Linked DNA regions of Callithrix jacchus. The protein of the gene in region 6 interacts with the protein of the main gene of each other region in a biochemical or structural test. Links are inferred from orthologs where the notes say so. Each region holds a gene or a part of one and is shown on either strand. Other genes may lie near its edges. The genes, in order: CDK6, ESR1, RB1, CDKN1C, CRYAB and CCND1.

The links.
Region 1: the proteins of CCND1 (region 6) and CDK6 form a complex in vitro, tested with the Homo sapiens proteins (3 studies listed by BioGRID and IntAct, with this or other methods). The link is inferred for Callithrix jacchus from reciprocal best matches to the Homo sapiens genes CCND1 and CDK6.
Region 2: the proteins of CCND1 (region 6) and ESR1 form a complex in vitro, tested with the Homo sapiens proteins (2 studies listed by BioGRID). The link is inferred for Callithrix jacchus from reciprocal best matches to the Homo sapiens genes CCND1 and ESR1.
Region 3: of the proteins of CCND1 (region 6) and RB1, one has a biochemical effect on the other in vitro, tested with the Homo sapiens proteins (15 studies listed by BioGRID, with this or other methods). The link is inferred for Callithrix jacchus from reciprocal best matches to the Homo sapiens genes CCND1 and RB1.
Region 4: the proteins of CCND1 (region 6) and CDKN1C form a complex in vitro, tested with the Homo sapiens proteins (2 studies listed by BioGRID). The link is inferred for Callithrix jacchus from reciprocal best matches to the Homo sapiens genes CCND1 and CDKN1C.
Region 5: of the proteins of CCND1 (region 6) and CRYAB, one has a biochemical effect on the other in vitro, tested with the Homo sapiens proteins (2 studies listed by BioGRID, with this or other methods). The link is inferred for Callithrix jacchus from reciprocal best matches to the Homo sapiens genes CCND1 and CRYAB.

Annotation. Positions count from the first base shown.
Region 1 is NC_133512.1:56,894,362-56,897,861, reverse strand, and holds part of CDK6 (cyclin-dependent kinase 6), read right to left. Parts: intron 1,474-3,500; coding exon 1,306-1,473; intron 1-1,305. UniProt on the Homo sapiens protein: Serine/threonine-protein kinase involved in the control of the cell cycle and differentiation; promotes G1/S transition. Phosphorylates pRB/RB1 and NPM1.
Region 2 is NC_133505.1:158,786,676-158,790,175, reverse strand, and holds part of ESR1 (estrogen receptor), read right to left. Parts: intron 2,607-3,500; coding exon 2,271-2,606; intron 1-2,270.
Region 3 is NC_133502.1:67,635,181-67,638,680, forward strand, and holds part of RB1 (retinoblastoma-associated protein), read right to left. Parts: intron 3,036-3,500; coding exon 2,909-3,035; intron 1-2,908. UniProt on the Homo sapiens protein: Tumor suppressor that is a key regulator of the G1/S transition of the cell cycle. The hypophosphorylated form binds transcription regulators of the E2F family, preventing transcription of E2F-responsive genes.
Region 4 is NC_133511.1:128,973,932-128,977,965, reverse strand, and holds CDKN1C (cyclin-dependent kinase inhibitor 1C), read right to left. Parts: upstream 2,801-4,034; 5' UTR 2,700-2,800; coding exon 1,760-2,699; intron 1,225-1,759; coding exon 1,094-1,224; 3' UTR 1,089-1,093; intron 999-1,088; 3' UTR 302-998; downstream 1-301. Other genes in the region: uncharacterized protein LOC118145682, read right to left, coding at 3,098-3,835. UniProt on the Homo sapiens protein: Potent tight-binding inhibitor of several G1 cyclin/CDK complexes (cyclin E-CDK2, cyclin D2-CDK4, and cyclin A-CDK2) and, to lesser extent, of the mitotic cyclin B-CDC2. Negative regulator of cell proliferation.
Region 5 is NC_133511.1:11,616,960-11,621,004, reverse strand, and holds the start of CRYAB (alpha-crystallin B chain), read left to right. Parts: upstream 1-1,245; 5' UTR 1,246-1,291; coding exon 1,292-1,492; intron 1,493-2,363; exon of another isoform or gene 2,364-2,497; coding exon of another isoform or gene 2,498-2,533; intron 2,534-2,607; coding exon 2,608-2,730; intron 2,731-4,045. Other genes in the region: HSPB2 (heat shock protein beta-2), read right to left, coding at 115-208; uncharacterized protein LOC118145697, read left to right, coding at 1,094-1,151. UniProt on the Homo sapiens protein: May contribute to the transparency and refractive index of the lens. Has chaperone-like activity, preventing aggregation of various proteins under a wide range of stress conditions.
Region 6 is NC_133511.1:126,558,929-126,563,144, reverse strand, and holds the start of CCND1 (G1/S-specific cyclin-D1), read right to left. Parts: upstream 2,801-4,216; 5' UTR 2,718-2,800; coding exon 2,496-2,717; intron 1,804-2,495; coding exon 1,588-1,803; intron 1,098-1,587; coding exon 938-1,097; intron 1-937. UniProt on the Homo sapiens protein: Regulatory component of the cyclin D1-CDK4 (DC) complex that phosphorylates and inhibits members of the retinoblastoma (RB) protein family including RB1 and regulates the cell-cycle during G(1)/S transition.

The DNA.
Region 1 (3,500 bases), on a different chromosome or scaffold from region 6:
TTCTCTAAAGCAGTGGTGTATGCTGGGCAAAGAGGAAGCAAGTAGGATTTATCTCCTAACAATGGAAACATTTTCCAAGGAATCCTCTGCACTAAAAGTTCTGATGCCCCAGGAAAAGTCTATAGTGTTTGGAAAGTAATTGGTGTTACATGTCCAGGTGGTAGCACTCCTATTTTGATTGGGGGTAGGAGGTGGGGAACACTTTTATAAACTGGATTTTTTTCCTAAGGCAAGTTATCTGTCTCAGAGAATTTCCAGCTCCTCTCTTGAATTTCTACTTATCAGCTGAAGTATTACTGAAATTTGGGGAAACAATTTTTTTGCTGTACAGAATGACCAAAGATGCTGCCAATCATTTCTTAACAACAGGGCCGTGCTGTTGCTGATGTGAGAACCACTCTGAGGGTAAAGATGAACAACATGGCTTCTTTTTATTTTTTATTTCTTTGAATATACAAAGACATTTTCTTTTTCTAAAATTCTTTTTCTTAAGGCTGAATTTACTGTACAGAAGGTGTGAATTTACTGTATGCAAAATAGCTTTCTAAGAGAAGCACATTAACATCTATTTCCAGGCTGCTATGTTTGTATTTGAGGTGCAGAATTTCACAAAAATCCATCTGAGAAATAATAAACTATATGGAGAAATAGAAGCTAAGCAATGTCAATGGAGATTATGGTTTTGCACCTGAATGGCACAAAGAAACAGGATATCACAATTGTCATTTTCTGCCAAAACAGGGCCGTTGGGTTTGCTCTTTCTATTGAGGCTTATATGAGCCTTCACCTGGCATGGCAGTGTTAAAACATTCATGCATTATCCAAGTTCACTGTAAATTTGATTTCTTCTTTACAGCTGGCACCACAGATTCAGAGAAGTGATTTAACACACTTATGTAGACACTCTGTTTCTCAAACCAGGATGCTGCAGACAGGTCAACATTGCTTATACTCTTTCTTCCCTGACCTTGAGCTGTGTGTTCCCTGGGCATTGTGCATACAGCTCTGAAAACAGTGGTTATGGCAGAAAGCATTTGGAAACCTGTAACTGATTCCTGTCCAGTGGCTAAGACGCAACAGGCTATTTCTGCAATGGGTCCTGTTCACAACAAGCCCAGCCTGGATGTGACTGTAGCTGTAGGCAGAATGCTTTTTGCCTACCCACTGGCATATAAAAAAGGGCAAAGACATTCTATCAACCAACTAGCCATGGGCAGTACTAACATTAGGGACATGGAAGGGGGACAGACTGTTATTCAAAAGAGGAAAAGTAAGTTTACTAAAGGACAGCACTCTCCCACTCACCACTGAAGTTAGAGCCATCTGGAAACTGTAGATGCGGGCAAGGCCGAAGTCAGCGAGTTTTATTTGTCCATTGCTGGTCACCAGAATGTTTTGTGGTTTTAGATCGCGATGCACTACTCGGTGTGAATGAAGAAAGTCCAGACCTCGGAGAAGCTGAAACATCATATCCTAATAAAATAAAAAAAGAGAAAATCAATAAACGCTCAAAACAGAAGTTCAGCCTCAGCATTTTGTGGCTGCTTGGCACGCAGCAGGCATTTTGATAAGGATGGCTGATTGAGTGAATCTGTCTCCCTTCCTGCCTTTCCACTCCCACACTTTCAGCAACACTGCAAAAAGTTTCACTCTCAACCTGTATTTTATTAATGAAAGGACAATTTTAAAATATTTTTGATGGGACAGGAAATGTTCTAGAAGGTTATCTGTCAAACTGGTCTCAGTGGCTCATGCTGGGGGAAGGAAAGAAGAGGTCGTGATGGGACACTTTTTGCTTCTATATTGTTTAATGTGTCATTTCAACAATCAAAATCCAGTGTATAACAATATTGTTTTTAATGGTGATTATTATTTGATAGCACCTAATACCAAACACTCACTGTATGTCAAGCACTATTCTAAGCATTGTCCACTTTTAGGCAGGCTCTTGCTCTGTTACCCAGGCTGTAGCACAGGGGTGTGATGCAGCCTTGACTTCCTGGGCTCAAGAGACCCTTCTGCCTCAGCCTCCCAAGTAGCTGGGACCACAGGTGCACACAACCATGGTAGGCTGGTTTAGTTTTTGTAGAGACGGGGTCTCACTATATTGACTAGGGCGGTCTCAGACTCCTGGGCTCAAGCTATTCTCCTGCCTCAGCCTCCCAAAGTGCTGGGATTACAGGTGTGGGCCGCCATGCCCAGTTGTAATCAACTCTTTTAGAGTATTAACAGTCTTGATTTAAACTAGAGTCTGGAAAACCTCAATTCAAATCTCCGATGTATTCCTTTATCAAATCAATGAAAAAATGAGTATGTAAAATAAGGCAAGCCATTTAACCTCTCTAAGCCTTAGTTTCCCTCTCTGTAAAATGGGAAAGTAACAAAACCCACTTTATCAAAGGATTATTGTAAAGCACCTAGCACCAAGTTAATATTCAGTAAATGGCAGCTCTTATTACTGTTATTTTCAACCAGCATGGAGGAGAGGAGCATTCAGAATATAGACCAGTATCAGATCTTTTTCTAATTTTAGGATCAATATAAATATGTACAAGATTTAACACTCAGGAACAGTGTTGGAAAGTAGGAACTAAGACATTGGGCATGATGTCATGATCCTCTGAAATTTGTGATAATTAAGAGTGACCTACTCCCCCCACCCAAATATGAGAATGGTGTATACAAGGGAGGATGGAGCCATTTTGTTAATATAAGGGTTAGAAAAATGACTGGACACCCTCATGGATTTCAGAGCTGAAAGGGGCTATGAGGATACACTTATCGGTCAGATCACTGAATCCTCTGAGAACAGTATATCTGGTTACTGGTTTATGTTTTCGGTTACTGGTTTATGGTTTTGGTTCTTCCTTTAGAGTTGGGAGTTCTGCCTTTATATCCTAGCTTGTTTAAAACCTAAGCCTTAGTTTTTTCTTTTATTAGGTGGAGAAAGTAGCAATTACTTTTCCTACTATTAGGGGGGTAAATGAAGTAATGTATGCCAAGTGCTGGTGCAGTTTCTGGCATATGGTAAACATTTGACAAACAGTAATTATTAGGATGATTATTGTCAAGGTAAGTGTCCTGATTTCTCGGGGAGACAGAATCACAAACAACTAAAGGGAAACATGACCACTGCTACAAGATTGATGTGAACAAAGCACTTGAGGGGGCATGCAGTGACCTAGAATCATTTTTGAGATCCCCCTAAGTGAATATTCTGAACTGGCAGGGGTTACCTTCTAAGCTTCCCAAAACTCTGGAGAAGACTGTGTGGGGGAGGGAAAACCCTTCAAGACTTGAGAAACACTGCAGGTCCAATAAGTTGCAATGAATAAACAGGAGTGTGAAAATGTAGCACAAAATGTTCAAGAAGTCCTCTTCTGCTGTGGCAAATAAGTCTTTATTGGAAACACATGCACACAACTTGTAAGCACTGAATTTTAAAAAGCATGACTAACCTAAAGTAATGTCATGCTGGCTCTTCATCTTTAGCTTCTATA
Region 2 (3,500 bases), on a different chromosome or scaffold from region 6:
TGACTAATTTTATTTTGCTTGGTCAGACAAGTAGGCCTTTGATTTACAACAGCTGCTTTCCCATGGAACACACACACACACACACACACACACACACACACACGGTTTCATTTTTCGCCTTTATAATTGTTTTTTAAATGATCAAGTAAGAAGACATAGTTTATTCGTCTAAGGATTTTGGAATCATTCAGGTCTTTTAAACTAACATGATGCAATTATAGAGTGGTTTTGCTGTAGATCTTATTAGCATAAGTTTGCCGAGCTCTGGCTTTAATAATTGCATTTTAACAATTATTAGCCTATATATAATATTTTCCTTTCCTTGGCTTCTCCACTTTATTCTTAAATTCAGAAAATTATTGATGTGAATTCTTCAACCACTGGTAATATATTTGAGCTTAATTCCAGTTGTTTCAAATGTTCTTTAATATTTTATTGCTATAAAAATGTCATGATGGGAATCTACCGATACATAGGAAAATGTCTATACTTGAATTCAGCAGTACTCCAGGGCTAATATTACCAAGATTTTATGAGGGAAAATATATGTTTACAGGAAAATAAAAATAAACAGCAACCAAGAGTTGGTTCTCAAATATATGACCATTAGTTTCTTCCTTTGTTTCTCTTTCCCTAAAATATAAGAACAAGGCAATAACAAATATAAAGAAAAAAATTACAGCTACATGACAGTTAGATCCAGCAATTAACTTATAATGTATCTGCTTCATATAAAAATGCTAAAATATGTAAGTACTCAAGAAAACTTTTCATTCTGAAGATGACCAGGAATTTTTGTTTGCCAGCTCAACTGACACTGAAAACCTAAATTTGCCTGTCATTCTCCATGCTTCCATGTAACCTAATAACCACCCAAACCACCAAAACGGTGGCCTCTGACAAGGTTGGGTTCCGATACTGCTGGCTCCTTCTTCTACAGCCCACATATTTATATGCTGATAGATACAAATACATGTAAGATTCTCCAATTCCAAACATAAGTTCACTTGGGCTGTAACACAGCAGTGACCCTTGAAACACAAATACCAAACTCCACATTTTTTTAGTTTCATACAAAACATTTTGTGCTTCATAGGAAACAATTAATTGTATCTATTAAAAGAACCCAAATGAGAAAATGTCTAACTAAATCTATCACTCATTTTAACTATAAGCCCAGAAAAAAAATTTAGCTTCCTCTTGCCTCGATTCATCTACATTAGTTCCTGAATGGATACACTGGGGCAGGGAGAAAGTCATTTCCTAGTCTTGTTTCCACACACACTTGAGTTCTTCTCCCTGAGCAACAAGAGTAACAGTCTAATTTTACCACAATACCACTTCTGAGAGTCAACTAAAGGAGCAAGGTGTCACTTCAGCCACTGTGTCTCTAAAAGTTTCTTTCAGTGATGATACCTTAATTTATTTTTCCACTGTCTTTCTCTTTTTCCTAAAATACTAAGCATAAACTAGGTTGGATAAATAATTGGCATTCAGTAAATAACCTTATTATTATCTCTTTAATCCATAAAGATCTTTCTTAACTTTTTTTTAAGACATGGTCTTGCTGTCACCTGAGCTAGAGTGCAGTGGCACTCCATATAAACACGACTCACCGAAACCTTGACCTCCTGGGCTCAAGCCATCCTCTAGCCTCAGCCTCCCCAGTAGCTGGGACCACAGGTGTGTGCTACTGCACCCAGCTAATTTAAAAAAATTTTTTTGTAGAGACAGGGTTTCAAAATGTTACCCTGGCTGGCCTCAAACTCCTGGGCTCAAGCAATCTCCCACCTCAGCCCCCAAAAGTGCTAGGAGTACAGGCATGAGGCATCACACCCAATCTTAAAAATCTTTTCAAGATAAAATTGTTTTATTAATAATTGAGATGTTTTGAACAAAGGTCATTAAATATTAAAAACTTTCGTAGATCATTTAGTGTTAAAAGTTTCTGCTACTGTGAACATATACTATTAAATAGTTTTATCATGTAGTGTCCACCCTAAATCTTTTTGGTGAATAGATGGTTAAAAATAAATTATGTCAATTTAAAAATTTTAGTCTCTTAGATTTTGATTTCAAAATATTCTTTTCTAACATCCAGGAAAATTACAGTGTGTTGATACTGAAAATGAACACATCTCCTATAACCTTGAAACGAGTTACATAACAAGTTATTGCTTGCTTCTTTTTCTCCTACTATTTCTCCCAGGACATCACAACCAGTTCTTGAAAAGCTATTGACTCTTAAAAGCTGAGTTTCACATTCTTACCTGGTACCCTCTTTGCCCAGTTGATCATGTGAACCAGCTCCCTGTCTGCCAGGTTGGTCAGTAAGCCCATCATCGAAGCCTCACTGAAGGGTCTGGTAGGGTCGTACTCGGAATAGATTATGGGGGGCTCAGCATCCAACAAGGCACTGACCATCTGGTCAGCTGTCAGGGACAAGGCTGGGCTGTTCTTCTTAGAGTGTTTGATCATGAGCGGACTTGGCCAAAGGTTGGCAGCTCTCAGGTCTCCAGTGGACCCCACTTCATTCCTGCCCTCCCCATCATCTCTCTGGCGCTTGTGTTTCAACATTCTCCCTCCTCTTCGGTCTTTTCGTATCCCTGAAAACACAGGGGGAAAACAACCAATTAATTTATTTTTTTCCCATGTAAACTTTTATACAAAACAATCTTCAAAGCTAACCGTCTTTCATTTTATGTGAAGAAATACTCTCAAGCAAGGTGAGCTGGTAAGTGTTTCACAAGTGTGTCTCCAAGAGAAAAAGAAAAAGACTTTGATTTGTAGCAGTGGCCAGTGTTCATGGTGTAAATGCTGCCACCATCGCAAATTTCAGGCCACTTGTCTGATATCAAGTGGCTTATAAAACTCCTGAAAATTGAACAGTGGGTGCTCATGAGCCCAAACAAACTGACTCTGACACACCAGGTAGGGTTGTGTGTGTGTAACAGGTGTTATAACAAGAACAGAATTCTAATTAGTTATTCTTAAAATATGATTTAGCATCAAAGCCTACTTCTGCTAGTAATATTGTCTTAATAGTAAATTAAAAGACAGTTTTTAAAAGCATGTAGTCCAAGGAGATGGGCAAGAATAAATAAGAATGACTTGCTCATAAGGTATATTTGAACAAACATGTGACTGAAATATATATATATATATATGTTATATATGTGTTTTTATATATAATATATTAAATGACACTTTAAAAACGTAGAGACACCATGAACTCTTCCCATTTGCTCAGTGTTAAAATAAACCTTTCTCATGTAATAGTAAAAATTATAATAAAGATTGTTATTACTAATATGCATTCAGCACTTACTACATATTTTAAGCATTTACATACTTGGAAGCAGTTTAGAACTAATTTAGTTCTTACAATAATCTTGTTAAATTTGAGAAACCATTAGTGAAATTAACCAACTTGTACAAGATCATTCTCTATTAAGTATGATTCCAGATTCTGGCTCTGAAAAGAAGTTTGCATTAACAAG
Region 3 (3,500 bases), on a different chromosome or scaffold from region 6:
CAGCTGTAAGCATGTTTTATGTATGCATAAACAAGTTTTCTGACCCTAAAGTACTTAAAAATAAGAATTTTAACAACCATACTACATCAAAATAGCTACAATGCATTTAAATTTTTAACCATTTTAACTAATACCCTAAGTTCTCCTTAAAAAAAAGTACATTAATGATAAAATGTTCCAGGGCAATTCTTAAGTAAAATTATTCTGTTTGCCATACCTAACATACACATTCGTTGACTCTAACAAGAGCTTTATATGCATTAATTTATTTAATCTGCACAGTAACTCCCCAAGATCCAGAAATTATTGTCAGTTCCTTTTACAGATAAGAAAACTAAGGCTTGAAAACTGTAAGTAACATGTTCAGGATCATGGAGCTAGTAAGTGGTATATCTGCTTGACTCTTAATCCTTACTCTTAACCCATCCATCCTCTATCCCAATAAACATCACCTACTTTCTACTGTCAAAAGGGTTTCCTTTTTGAAGGTTAAATTCTCAGGCCAACGCTCAAAAACTTAACTGCACTTAAAATCATATTTCAAGGACATCATCTTCTGCCATACCCTTCAAAAGCATACCTCAAATCCCAAAAGTAACATGAAATTCCTTTCTTACCTTCCTCCAGTACCTAGCCATAAATAATTTCACACATCCTAGTCCCCATCACAAGCTCCATTAGAAAATAAGATTTAAACTGGGCTAGTTCCCAGGGAAGGTAGAGACAAAGCCGGGATTTAAAAAGGGCAATAAAACAGTAACATTTGCATATATATATATTTTTTTTTTCAAATCTGAAGCTCAAAAAAGATTTTACTGTTAAAACTTTTATTGTTATAGTTCAGTACAAAAAAATAAGTTATGTGAACTAGGCTGGAAACCTAACTACAATATCACACTTGCAAACAGATTTGGAACACAATGCACTTATAAATTGAAAACTATAGTATGTATATACACTAATACTCTCTATAATCAGCCATCCCTTCCAAAATTTCTGAACACTAAAAATCTATTATTTTAGGAAGAGAAAAGTGAAGGCGCTCTGATCCGTTTAACTGTATATGCACAAAAACAGCTTTGTACATGAAGTTCCCAAGTCAGTTAAAATATAAATTAGATGCCTGGGGATTATAACACCCAAGTCATACATTCAAGATACTCAGTAATCCTCTCTTTTTAGATAAGAAGTATAAGACTATGTTCAATTCTTTGGAAATTACAACAGTTGTTTTCTCTTTTTTACTGCCAGAGATTTTTTTTTAATGGTTTTAAACAGTTTTCTTATAGGACATAAATAAACACATTTTGCTCTGTTAATCTGATCAGTAAAAACAGATACTCTTACACTACTATACTGAGACGGTAAATTCATTAAAAGTATCTGTCTGAAATGTAATCTAGCAATAATCATCAAGAGTTCATAGCTTTTGATGCAGTAATTCAACTTAAAAGAATTTATTCTAATAAAATAATCAGATATTCATTCATTAATTTATTTAACAAATTATCAAGGACTCACTTTGTACCAAGCATTACTCTTATGAATACATAGTTTATTACATTATTTTACAGCATCAAAAAGTTGGAAAAAGCCCAAATGTCCAATAATGGTGAGAGTTAACAAATTAAAATACATCCAATAGCTAAAATATAATACTCTCACTAGAAACTATATTAGAAAAAAAATTTAATAACATAAGAAAATGGTCATATTAGGAAAAAACAAGAAAATACAAAACTATGTAACTACACGTAATTATACATAACTATATATAATCTCAAATTTATATTTGAGATCTTATTTTCTAGGGACAAGGTTCTTATTTTTCTAGGGTCAAGTTACTCAACCGCACTCTACTTTGGTGTCTTCATCTTTAAAATGAAGATTTCACATAAAATAGAGATTTTATATTTCATATATCAATGGTCTTAAAATGAGTTATCTGTATATTTCTAAAGTTCTTTTTTTTTTCCTTTTTGAGATAGAGTCTTGCTTTGTTGCCCAGTCTGGAGTGCAGTGGCATTATCTTGCCTCACTGCAACCTTTGCTTCGCAGGTTCAAGCAACTCTCCTGCCTCAACCTCCCAAGTAGCCGGGATTACAGGCATCCACCACGATACCTGGCTATTTTTTGTATTTTTAGTAGAGATGGGGTTTCACCATGTTGGCCAGGCTGGTCTTGAACTCCTCAAGTGATCACCCACCTCGACCTCCCAAAGTACTGGGATTATAGGTTTGAGCCACTGTGTCCAGACTTATTTTTTTATTTTTTGGCAACAGGGTCTTGCTTTGTTGCCCAGGCTGCAGTGCAGTGGTGTGATCTTGGCTCACTATAACCTCCGCCTCCCAGGTTCAAGTAATCCTCCCACCTCAGCCTCCCAAGTAGCTGGGATTACAGGCATGCACCCCCACACCCAGCTATGTAAAGTTCTTATACTATTCCCCCAGTACATATAAAATACTGGTAATTTTTTGCTGCTGTTATTAAACATACACATATATACATATGCAAAGAAAAAATGAAAAGAATATATCAAAATATTTTCAAGATCCTGAATTCTAACAAAATTAATTATAAGACAATTAGGAAATCTGAACAGTGACTGCATATTAGAAGGTATACAAATTATTTTATAAGGTATGGTGGTTTTTTTTAAAAAGTCCTTGTATTATAGTGAATAAAATATAACTAAGACCTGCATTAAAATAGTTTGGTGGGAGGCATATATAGCGAGATTTTTTCCAAACATTTTTAATGTTACAAGAGGTAAATATCCTCTGAGTAATGGAATTATAATTAGCTTTTATTGTCTTTATATTTTTCTATCTTTCAATTTTCGTATAGTGATTTGAAGTTGTTTTTTAAATGAGAAAAAAAATTCAGAATGTTTTAAGAAAATCCTTACCAATACTCCATCCACAGATGAAACTTTCTCCCAAGTTAACCAAGCTCTCTCTCTGACATGATCTGGTATCTTTAATTTCTGACATAACGCTGTAAAATCAGGTTCTTCAGTTTCTTCAAACTCAACCCTATCAAATGAAAATAATCATATAATTGGCATATACTTATAAATCATATTAATTCAGTAAACACTTGTTTCAATAGTTTACACATTATAGCACTATTGTAAAAGAGAACATTACTAAATATCTTGAGATCTTATTTTACCTTAGAAAGAAATTATATTTCGAATTTAAATGTATCATTATCTTTTTCATGGTCATTGAAAAATAAGGCTACCACACAGTGAGAAATATTTGCTTGCATGGTGAGTCAAATATACTTTAGAGCAGCAAAACACTCCTGCAAAGGAAAGTAAATGTAATAGCTAAAGCTGTTTGGGAAAACAGCATAAGCATAACAACAAAAATATTAAAAACCCAAAGATAATATTATACAATTTAATGGCAGTAACTTTGCTAAACTGTAGTCTACTCTTATCAATGTTTCATATAATCTCTCTACCTACTAGCACATCTTACATGATGATACTG
Region 4 (4,034 bases), about 2.4 Mb from region 6:
ACAAGCCTGGGTCTGGGCAGCAAGTCAGGGGCTGTGCTGCCTGCCTGCTGGGGCTACGTGAAGCCCACACTTGTCTTTCTGCAGCCCCGAAGGTGGAAGGTGATAAATGTGGGGTGCAGTGCCGGCCAGCTGCCCCTCCTGAGATAAGGTGACTGGAGCAGGCGGGAGTGGGCCAGGCCCAGCCGGGAGAGAGGCTTCCCCTTTTGGACTGGGGATGGCCACTTTGGCCTGCTCTCTCCTGCGTTCTAGCTCTCCAGCTTTGGGGGTGCAGGAGGCAGGCACAAGCACAAACAGACTGGAGTTGCAGCATCTTTCGGCCTCTTTATTTAGAACCCGGCGGACGAGGGGCCGGGGCAGTGGTACAGTCGGCTCAGGAACCATTTTAACAGATTTGTCTTCAAGTTTAAGATAAACACAGTAATAGTAAGAGAGAGCGAAAGCGCGAAGAGAATGCAAGCTAGGTGGGCGTGATGGCAGCTACAGCTTGTGAGTGACCCCTTTCCCCAGAGTCCGCTATGAGAATAAAGTTATACACTTGTCAATAACGGGACGATGTGGGAGGTGGAGGTGCCTTTGGCATAACCAATAACCGAGCTAGTGCGTGGCAGAGCGGTCCACGCCTGGACATAAATAGAAAATATAAGTTAGTATAACTTTAAAAACTTTTTGTACAAATATACATGGTTTTTTTTATTTTTTACTTTTTTTTTACTTTTTTCTTTTTTTTTGCACTGAGTTTCAGCAGAGATTAAACATTTTATATAAATGACTCTTAAAGCTTTACACCTTGGGACCAGTGTACCTTCTCGTGCAGAATACATTTAGATATAAAAAGACGTAATCAATACATTGCACAGTTTTCAGAATTTAAACACCGAACGCTGCTCTGCGGCAGCCGCCGCCGGTTGCTGCTACATGAACGGTCCCAGCCGAGGCCCCAGCGCCCTTCCAACGTCCGCTGCCCCGGCAGGTTCCCTCGGGGCTCTTTGGGCTCTAAACTGCGGAGCGGGGGAGAGAGGGGAGGTCAGCAAAGTCCGAGAGCACCCCGCAGGAAGGCCCCCCGCGCCCCCCAGGTGCGCCGTACTCACTTGGCTCACCGCAGCCTCTTGCGCGGGGTCTGCTCCACCGAGCCCACGCCGGGGGCGCCGCTGGGAGCGGGACACGGCGGGGGGACCTCTCCCGACGCCTTCTCAGGCGCAGATCTCTTGCGCTTGGCGAAGAAATCTGCGGGCGACAGCGCGCACGGCCGGTCAGGGCGGGGCCGGCCGAGAGACCCAAGAGGGGGCCGGGAGAGGGCTTGGGGCGCGGGCTGGCCGGGGTGGGGGCGCCGTCCCTGCCCGCGCCGAGGTCTGCGGCGGGTCAGCTTTGTTTACGTCGCCGCGCAATGTGCTGTGTAAGCATTTCCCCTTGTCCCGCGGCCAAGCCCCCCGGGGCCGCCGCTGCGCTTAACCCCCTCCGCGCCGCGATCACGACGCCCGGCGGCGCCCGGGGAGGGTCTCCTGTGGCCGGGGGTGAAGGCTGCGCTCCCGGGGGGTCGCCGCCGGGGCTCCTCCTCCCACCCCGCCCGCGCAAGCCGCTCGAGGGCACGACCACGGGGCAGGGAGGGGGGTGAGGGCGCAGCCGCGCCCTGAGCGCTGCGGGCCCTTTAATGCCACGGGAGGAGGCGGGAACCCAGCGAGGCCCCCCGAGGGCTGGGGAGACCGGCCGGCGGGACAAAGCGGGGCCGGGCCGGGCCGGGGCGGGGCCGTGCGGGGCTCACCGGAGATCAGAGGCCCGGACAGCTTCTTGATCGCCGCGCCGTTGGCGCTGGCAGCAGCGGTGCCGGCCGCTGGACGTCCCGAAATCCCCGAGTGCAGCTGGTCAGCGAGAGGCTCCTGGCCGCGCTGCCCCTGGTTCGCGCCCTGCTCGGCACTCTCTTGAGGAGCCGCGTCCGGGGCCGGGCCCGGGGCGGGGGCCGGAGCCAAGGCCGGGCCCGGAACCGGGACCGGAGCTGGGACCGGGGCCGGGGCCGGGGCTGGGGCCGCGACCGGAGCCGGGGCCGGAGCCAGAACCGGAGCCAGAACCGGAGCCGGGGCCACGACCGGGGCCAAGACCGGGGCCACGACCGGGGCCGCGACCGGACCTGCGATCAGACCCGGAGCCACGACTGGAGCCGGGACCGGAGCCGGGATCTGAGCCGGGATCAGACCCGGAGCCACGACCGGAGCCACGTCCGGAACCGCGACCGGGGCCGGAGCCAGGACTGGGGCTGGGGGCGGGGTGGACGCCGGGGCCGGGACCGGGACATTAGGCAGCTGCTCCGGCGCCTCCTCGAGGCCGTCGAGGGACTCAGCGTCCGGCTCGAGGGGCGGGCTGACAGCCACCGCGACCGCGACGGGCCGCGGCGCCAGCAGCAGGCGGCAGCGCCCCACCTGCACCGTCTCGCGGTAGAACGCGGGCACCGACTCGCTGTCCACTTCGGTCCACTGCAGGCGTCCGGGGCCCCGCAGCGGCATGTCCTGCTGGAAGTCGTAGTCCCAGCGATTCTGGTCCTCGGCGTTCAGCTCGGCCAGGCGGGCCTGCAGCTCGCGGCTCAGCTCCTCGTGGTCCACCGGGCCGAAGAGGCTGCGGCAGGCGCTGGTGCGCACAAGTACTGGGAAGGTCCCACGGGCGACAAGACGCTCCATCACGGATGTGCTGCGGAGGGACGCGTCGGACATGGCCCGGGACTGCGCGATCGCGGGCAGCGGGAGAGGAGAGGACAGCGAGAAGAGGGGGAAGAGGACAGGAGGAGAGGGCGGAGGCCGGGCGCGAGGGAGACCCCGCGCAGCCCGACGCCGCGTGTGCGGGGGACGCGGCGGAAGGGCGGGCGCGGCGGCTACCTGGCGGTCGGGTCGAACACTCTCCTGCGTGGAATTCGCTGGTCTGGTCGGGCCGGCAACCGCGCCCCCTCGATGCCTGCTGGCTCGCTCGCTGCTCGGGCCTGGCTGGCACCCCTCGAGCACAGCGCACTTGGCCTGTGGAACGCCCAGCCCGCCTGCGCCCGCTTTATACGCGCGGGCCCCACCCCCGTGCGCGCGGGCCCGGCCGCGATTAGCATAATGTAGTATTTTCAGTTTCAACAACACCGCGGCGATTGGCCCCCGCCCCGCCGCCCCGCCCCTTCGCGGCCCCGCCCCCGCGCGCCGCCCATTGGCCGCGAGCACACCCACCGAGGGCGAGGCGGGGCGCGCGGCCGGGGCGCGCGGCTGATTGGCGGCCGCGGGGTGAGCGCGCTGTAGCAGGGGAAGGGGGCGGTGAGCGGGGCGGGGGCGGGAGTTAAAGGGCGCTGCGGGCGGTAACGTGACACCGCGACGCCCCGCCCCCTCGCCCCATCCCCCCCGCTGCCCCCCCCCCCCCGGCTCCCGCCCCCCGCCGGCTCCTTTGTCTGCAGGCGGGGGCCTCGGTCCAGCGCGGCAGGGGCCGGCTCCCGGCGGGTCCGGTGTCCGGCCAGGCCCCGCGCGACCCCGGCCCGGTCCGGACCCCGGCGCCCAGCCCCGTCCCGTGCTCGCCCCTGGGCCTCCTGCGCCGGCTGACGGGACTTGGACCCGCCGCTGCCAGCTCGGCCCCGGCCTGCGCCGGACGGGGTCTTCGGCTGCCCCCGCGCGGCCTGCTGCGGCTGCTGGGTTGTGTCCCTTCGAAGGGTCCGCGCACCTGGAGCCCTCACACACCTGCCGGCCCGAAGGCCCTCGAGTCGGGAAGGGGGGACGGGGTCAGCTCCACTCTTTCCCGGAGGGACCATGTGTAGGACACTTGGAGAGGCGCCCAGCAGCCCCCTGGGGCTGGAGAGAGAAGCCGCCATCTGCGGAGGCCTACCCTGCCCAGTAGATGGAACACAGGCTTAGCCCAAACTGGGCTGCGCCCATCATGTCACTGTCGGGGGTCCCGGCCCCCCTCAGCCTTGGGCCAGGCCACCCCAGCCCCGGGATCGGCCTGTTCAGGCTGCTTGGAGGCTGCTGTACTGGGTAAAAGTGAAAGATCTGCCTGAGGTCATAGGGGAAGGGGCTGAGAAGGAC
Region 5 (4,045 bases), about 110 Mb from region 6:
ATGACTGGCTTCAGGAGATCAGTTAAGCCGAGTGGGGTGGAAGCCAGTAACGCTGGGAGGTCAGCCCAGAATTTCGGGAGGGTGGGAGGCAAGGGGGTGGCGTCTGTGCCATACCTTCTCCAAAGCGCTGCTCACCCAGGCGACTCGGGTTGGCAAATTCGTACTCGGCGGTGGCTGGGTGGGCATGTGGCACTGAGCGGCCCGACATGGCTGCAGAAGCAGCGGAAGCCCTGGTCCGAGGTGCAGCCCCAACAGACGCAGCGCGACCCCTCCAGCTGCCGGGAGAGCTAGGGCTCAATAGGAGGTGGGGGCGGGGTCGACACCACCCAAAATAGTGCCGTGCCTCTGCGGGGGAGGGGTGGGGAGTGGGGGCCCTCAGTGAGAGCAACAGGGTGTAACCAGTGCCGCCCGGACCCCTAGTCCCCTCCCCCGAACACTTCAGCTGTTGCAGGGGGTCTGAGAGGACAGCTGAAGGTCCTGGCTGGGAACAAGCTGGGGAGGGGGAGCTAGTGGTGTCTAGGACATGAAGAGGCCTTGCTGAGACCCTCACGAACGGTTTCCACGTTTCCACAGCACATTTCCTCCTCCTCAGTGGCAGGCACTGTGCACCCAATAAATTCCTAAAGCTCTCCTGGATTTAATTAATGTTCTGAGAGCCACATAGGATGAAAGATGCAAGAAGTCTTTTGCTCTTTCTTCAGGGGTGAGGTCTTTCTGCCCAGATGTCAGGGTCCTCCCCTGAACCCAGGTCAACCCAGGGCACGAGGCAGATGGCTGGTACTGACATGTTGACCATCACTGCTCTCTTCTAAGGACTCACAAAGAGTTAATGTCCCTGGGGCCCAGCCTAGGAAGATTCCAGTCCCTGCCCAGGCCCAAGATAGTTGCTGGCCTGATTCCCTTGGCATGCAGGACTGGAGAGGAGGAGGAGGGGCACACCCCCCTATGCCTGCTTGGGATTCCTGACTCTGTCCCAGCTTCAGAGAACAGGGGTGGGGGTGGGTGCCCATTGGGTGTGGACAGAAAGCTAGTGAAACAAGACCATGACAAGTCACTGGCCAGCTCAGACGTGTTTGTGTTTCTCTTTTCTTAGCTCAGTGAGTACTGGGTATGTGTCACACTGCCAAATCCCCGATCACAAGTCTCCATGAACCGGCAGTGAGCTAGGATAATAAAACCCCTGACATCACCATTCCAGAAGCTTCACAAGACCGCATATATAAGGGGCTGGCTGTAGCTGCAGCTGAAGGAGCTGACCAGCCAGCTGACCCCCAACACTCACCTAGCCACCATGGACATCGCCATCCACCACCCCTGGATCCGCCGCCCCTTCTTTCCTTTCCACTCCCCCAGCCGCCTCTTTGACCAGTTCTTCGGAGAGCACCTGTTGGAGTCTGATCTTTTCCCAACATCTACTTCCCTGAGCCCCTTCTACCTTCGGCCACCCTCTTTCCTGCGGGCACCAAGCTGGTTTGACACTGGACTCTCAGAGGTGAGTCTTCCCCTCCCAGGATGGGAGAGTCCTTACTGGAACATCCTGGAAACTTCTCCATCCATTTTTCTTTCCTTCCCTGCCTAAACAATTTTAGGCACATGTGTGTCCAAAAGTGAAGAAAAATGAGGTTGCTAGTGCCTTCCTCCCCTGTCAGCTATTTCTATTTGATGGTCCTCTGTATCCCATTTATTACATTTTTCTATGCACCGTCGAGTTCATCCTCTGTCCCCTAACTTCTCTCTGCAGGATACCCCTTTCTAGTTTGGTTCATAACGATCTGCAGGGAAAGAGCTGCCTTCGAACTCCTTTACTCATCTCTTCTAACACCTCAGACTCTTGACCAATTTTACCATCTCAGGTTTCAGAGCCAGGAGAGAGCCCTGCCTCATCCTGAGCTGTTCATCCCCACTGGGTGGAGCTGGGGCCAACCACCACTATTTTCTGCCTTTCTATTCCTTCTTCTAGGATTTTCTGGGTCCCTTAAGGCTGTGACAGAGCACTGGCCTGGGTCCAACCAAGCCTTATGAGGAAACAATATAGGTCTAGTCTTGGGATCCCCCACTTGTCCTGAGAGGGTGGGAGAAAAGGGTGAACAAATAAGGTTGACCGAAGCTGTTACAGATAACACTCTGGTTTAAAAATATTTGAGTGTGAGTAAACAGGACCTGAGTGGGCAAGGGCTTTGGAAGGACAAGCAGGACCAGCAGAACATTCCAGATTGGGTGGGTGGAAAACTGGCAAAGAGACCTGAGCAAGAAGAAGAAAGGCCTTTGTCTCACAGACAAACCACAAAGCCAGGCATTGGAGTCAGAGAGGCAGCAGATGCCAGGCCTGCACCCATCTTTGTGACTGGTCCCCTGGGTGATCTGTCTTCTTCTCTGTCCCTGGAAATAAAGTTTAGGTCTGATCACCACGAGCCTTAGGTATCACTATGGTGGCTCCCTGAAGCAGAGAGCCGTGTTTATTTAAAAAGGCGATTTTCTTTAAGCAGAAAAAAGAAGGATGAATTACCTGGACAGAAAGCAACTCTGCAGAATGGTAAGACAGCACCAGTATAATTAGTATTTTTGCCATCTTTTTCCAACCCCATTCTCTTACCTTGCTATTTTTAGATGCGCCTGGAGAAGGACAGGTTCTCTGTCAACCTGGATGTGAAGCACTTCTCCCCAGAGGAACTCAAAGTTAAGGTGCTGGGAGATGTGATTGAGGTGCATGGCAAACATGAAGAGCGCCAGGTATGTAGCTTGTTTTTGGTTTTTGTTTTCTGCTCATTCATTCAGTGCATACTGTAATAGTCTCAGTAGAGCTCTCAGCTTCGGAGGCTGGCTACATTCCAGTCCCAAGCCATAACGGTCTGGATCAGGGCTTACAAATCAATGTCTGGAAGACTAAGTTAGGGAGAGACCTACTGCTGTCATGACTGTTGTTATGGCCAGAGATGCGGCTTTTGTTTTATTTGATCACCTTAGATGGGATGCTGATGCCCCATCAAGGCCAGTGGTTCTGAATCTCGGCCACATTAGAATCACCAGGGGAACTTTCAAAAATCCTAATGCTCAGGCATACCCCAGACCAATTCAGTCAGAATTTTTAGGGATGGGACCCAGACATCAGCATTTTTTAAGGTGATTCTAATCTACAGTCAAGGTTGAGAACCACCGATTTAGGGTTAGGGTTGTAAGACACCTAGTTGCTTTGCATAATTACATTAACTACATGTACCCTGAAGGCTCTTGAGTTGTGACTTCTCTTTACTTGTGCAAGAATCCACGTTTCATCTTTAGTCCATCTTAATGCTGAACCACTTGGTTTGTCTAAATTTCAGTCTTCAGTCCCCCTGTAGCCTATGTGGAAATCAGTTAATGAGAGCCTGTTTGGTTACATGCTTGAGAGTCGGCAGGCATACGGGTAAAGGTCACCTACCCTTTGTGGGAATTCTGACGAATGGAACAGCTTCTCATGACTTTGTGAGAGGGCTTTAAAATTGTTTCTTACCAATTAATGATAGCTCAGAACCTGTGCATCAACTAGTACAGTTTGTCCTTAGTAACGTCCTCGAGCTGTTTCCATTTTGCTCATATGATTTAGGTTTGGGTTATAGTCTCCTTGGATGGAGTCATTTTTCTTCTTCTTCTTCTTTTTTTTTTTTTGCAGCAGTCCTATTGTTCTGGAACATTCTGGGACATTCCTGAAGAGTCAGGACAATTTCCGGGTTTCCTCAGGGACTCAGATTCTAAATGAGATTCCAAATTCTGTAGGCCCAGCCAACAGAATTTGATCTAAACCTTTGGGAAATACCCCTAAACATGTCTATGCCTCTGGGTTTGAAAAACAATGATGTATTGGGCTGTTTCAGACTTCTCAGATTCTCACTGGTAGGAATGACTCTACCTAGGCAACTTCATCTTAACTCCAAACCTGAAACAAAGAATTATTTATTCTTCCTATGTTGTCATGGCATCTGGTCTCACCTAAGGGGAAATCGGGATGCTTGAGTTCTGGGCAGGTGATAATATTTCCTGTTTTTATTTCTCTGCCTCTTTCCTCATT
Region 6 (4,216 bases):
AAACCATTCTGGAATAATACACTAACTGCTGGCTACCTGTGTCAGAGGGTGCGCTGAAATAGGTTTGGGGGGGCTCTGCCCTCAAGGGATTGGGGGAGAAGATGCTATTGTGTCTTTGATGTCCCGGACCTTGTGGCCTGTCACCCAGAGTGAGCCCACAAACAGATGTGACAACTGAGGCTTGACCAAAAGGGGGCAGGGCCCCCCCATCAGGGTAACCAGGGAAGGAGGCGCACAGGGGGGTCAGAGGCAGGGCTGGGGACAGCAGGAGGCAGCACCCTGTGTATGCATGTGTCTATCCCAGTTGGGTCCTGGGGCCAGGGCCATGCCAGCGGAGGTGAGGACTGGGTACTTCTGCTGCCCACGGTGGCGGCCTAAGCTGAGACTGCTCTGAAGTGCTCCCCAGGGCTCAGCTGAGCCCAGCAGACTGGCGGCACCCCTGGCAGGGCCTCAGGCAGCTGAGCTCCTCTGCTGGACACCCCTGCACTCAGCTGCCCAGAACACGTGGTGCAGGCGGGCCGACAGCTCTCCCCGCCCCCGGAGGCGCCTCTGGCAAGTCGCCCAGCCTGGGAGAGGCCAGGAGGGGGCCCCCGCAGCTCAGGCTCCTTAAGGACACAAGAAGGGCTGGAGGTCGGTGGGGAAAGGAGGCGGCCCTGCGGCCAAGGTAAACCCCTTTCGGCCTGGAGGATGAGGCCACAGCATCTAGACACAGGCAGGCTGGCTGCGTGGTGGCGCGGCCGTAAGGGCAAATCCCCTTCCATCCAGCGCAAACAAGCCAGCACCTCTGCTCACCAGAGCTGGAAGAACTCTTCCCAGCGCAGGCGGGGGCCTAGGGACGTCCTCCGGGACAGCACCCAGGTGCAGAGCAAGAAGCTGGCCAGGCCACCTAAGGTGCTGGCTTTCAAGGGGAGGCTGGGGGCGGCTGGGCCTGCCCTACCTGTAGCGCAGAGGGCAACGAAGGTCTGCGCGTGTTTGCGGATGATCTGTTTGTTCTCCTCCGCCTCTGGCATTTTGGAGAGGAAGTGTTCGATGAAATCGTGCGGGGTCATGGCGGCCAGGTTCCACTTGAGCTTGTTCACCAGGAGCAGCTCCATTTGCTGCGAACACAGGGTGAGCGGCTATCAGGGGAGGTGCGGGCCGGCCTGGGGACGCGGGGAAGCCGGCAGTATGGCCCTAGCCCCTGAGTCTCGTGTGGTCCTGGGGGTGCGGGAGCAGGACTGGCGAATGCTGGGGGGTCCAGGAAGCTGGGGCAACACACGATCCCAGATCAAAACAGAAAAGGCGCCCGCCGCGTGAAAAGATTCTGCAAGTGGAAACAAAAAGACTTCCCACCACCTGGAACGGAAGGCTCAGCGTGGAGCGCGGCGTTCCCGGTGCAGCCGCTGGAGGGCGCGCGCCGCCCATTTTTCGGCCACACCGCAGAGCGCTAACGAGGTGGGAGTCGCAGGCAAGCGCGCACGGGGCGGCTAGGATCCCACCCGCTCCCAGGACGAGGACACCCGGCAAAGGGGCCGCCTGCCGCCCCTGCACCTTCCCCGGCCCGGTGGTCCTGCGGCTCGCGGGGGGCGGCGGGGGTCCCGCGGTTACCAGCAGCTCCTCGGGCTGGATGGAGTTGTCGGTGTAGATGCACAGCTTCTCGGCCGTCAGGGGGATGGTCTCCTTCATCTTAGAGGCCACGAACATGCAGGTGGCCCCCAGCAGCTGCAGGCGGCTCTTTTTCACTGGCTCCAGCGACAGGAAGCGGTCCAGGTAGTTCATGGCCAGCGGGAAGACCTCCTCCTCGCACTTCTGCTCCTCGCAGACCTGCGGGGGCACGGGGCCCGTGACCGCCGCCGCCAGGTCGCGCCACCCCCACCCCACTCCCCCGCCCTCGCATGCCCATCGCGCTCGGCAGGACCACCAGTTCTGGAGGGCGCCGAGGGGTCGGGGCCGGGGGCGGCAGAAGCTTCCTGTGATGCGCCCCCTCTCGCGCGCGTCCCGAGTATCCACCCTCCCTGAAACTGAAAGGGAAAGTCCCCGCGAGGCTGGCATGGTGGGGGCGGGAGCGGGCACAGCTGGGCGGCGGCGCGGGCTGCAGGCCCCGGGGACCCCAGCCCGCCCTGGAGCTCCGTGGCCCCTCTGGCTGTGGGTCGACACCCACTGGGGTGCGGGGCCGCGCAAAAGGCCGCGGGGTTGGGCGCCGCGCCTGCGAGACACAAAGGTGGCGTCCCAGGCCGCCGCGCCGCATTTCCCCAGACGTCATCTTTTCAAAAAATATTTAAAAATATTTAAAAAATAACTAAGTGCGTAAAAATACCCTGAAAATGACCCTCGGACGGCCCTTTACCCAGGCCGGGGGTCGGGAGTTTGTTACAGGGTCCGGGGGAAGCCCCAGGAATTCAAACTCCGGGGACCCCCTTCCCCCTGGGCGCGGGCGGTGTTTCCCTCTCGCAAGGGCACCACGCCGCACTTTCAAAAATTATTTAAAAATACTTGCGGGCCCCTCAGGCGCCTACCGAAGGTGTGAAAATGTTCTCCCAGGCCCCCGGCTCGCTCGGAGAAGGTCCCCCAAGCCGAGATCCCTGCAGACGGGGATCCAGCCCTGGCGTCTTGGGGGCCACGCGACCTTGCAGCTCGGCGTGCTCTCCGGCCCAGGCTGCCCGTGCGGGGCGCTTTGGGACTCGCTGCTTGAACAAAGGCCCCCCTTTCCCCAGCGGGGTCCCCCCAAAACTACCCATGCTGCGTCCCCGCGCCCCTCCCGCGGGCTCCGGGCAGCCGCCGGGCCCCTAGTTGCGGCCCCAGCGCCCGGCGGCCGCTCCCCGCCCCCACCCTGCCCCCAATTATTAATAAACACTTTTGCTGTGCAATAAAAGAGCAAAGATGGCGCATAATACTGGCACGAGAAGCCCTTGCATACGTGTCCATGGATAGTAATTTAAAAATCAAATCTATGCCCCCTCCCCCCGGAGTTGGAGGCTCTCGGCCGCGGCGGCCGGGAGAGGAGCCGCAGCATGGCTGGGGCGCAGGCGGGGGGCACAAAGCGCACCTAACCTGCCAGCCCGCACCCTCGGGCCCATTGGGGTGCTCCTGGCACTGGCTTCTCCTGGAGGCACCCCTCCCCGACCCCCTCCTCCCGTCCCAGGAAACGCAACTCCTAGCACCCCCACCCCCACCCCTTCCTTCTTCAGAAAATACCCACAATTTTTATTTTGAAAATACCTAGCAACACCCCGGCAAACTTCAAAGGTCTAGCGGGAGAGAAGAGAGGGGAGTGAGAAGCAAAGAAACGTGGGTATGGGCAACAAGTTGCAGGGAGGTCTTAAGAGAGCCGCCCGAAGCCCCGCACCTCCAGCATCCAGGTGGCCACGATCTTCCGCATGGACGGCAGGACCTCCTTCTGCACACATTTGAAGTAGGACACGGAGGGTGCGCAGGTCTCCTCCGCCTTCAGCATGGCCCGCAGCACCCGGTCGTTGAGGAGGTTGGCATCGGGGTAGGCGCGGCGGATGGCCTCCACTTCGCAGCACAGGAGCTGGTGTTCCATGGCTGGGGCTCTGCCTGGGCAGCTGGGGAGGGCTGTGGGTTCCGGCTGCGTCCGCGCTCGGCTCTCGCTCCTGCTGCCCCGCGCTCCCTCGCGCTCTTCTGCCCCTCGCCGGAGCGCGCGGACTCTGCTGCTCGCGGCTACTGCGCCGACAGCCCTCTGGAGGCTCCAGGACTTTGCAACTTCAACAAAACTCCCCTGTAGTCCGTGTGACGTTACTGTTGTTAAGCAGAGATCAAAGCCGGGCAGAGAATGGGAGCGGGAGGGGGCGGGGGCGGGCGCAGGGGGAGGGGGCGCGGGCGCCAAACGCCGGGAGCAGCGAGGGGCAGAGCCCAAAAGCCATCCCCGAGGCGCCGCGCCTGCCCTGCGGCGGAGTTGCCCCCGTAGTCCGGTTTTCATAGAAATGCAAATCGCCCCGCTGCAGCCTTTCTCCCCGCCAGAAAAGAGGGGTACAGGGGGCCCGGTCCGACTCGAACGGGTCCCCCGGGATTTGGGGGTGGGGTGGAGGTGGCTCTGCAGTAGGGGACAACTGGGAAGCCCCACAGGCCACACGCAGCCTAGGGAGACCACGAGGAGGGGGGACTCCGGGGCGCGGCGACACCCCATATCCAAGCCGGCAGAATCGGCGCATTTCCAAGAACGCCACGAGGGCACCCACGAGCGGACAGACGGCCAAAGAATCTCAGTTTCTGCATC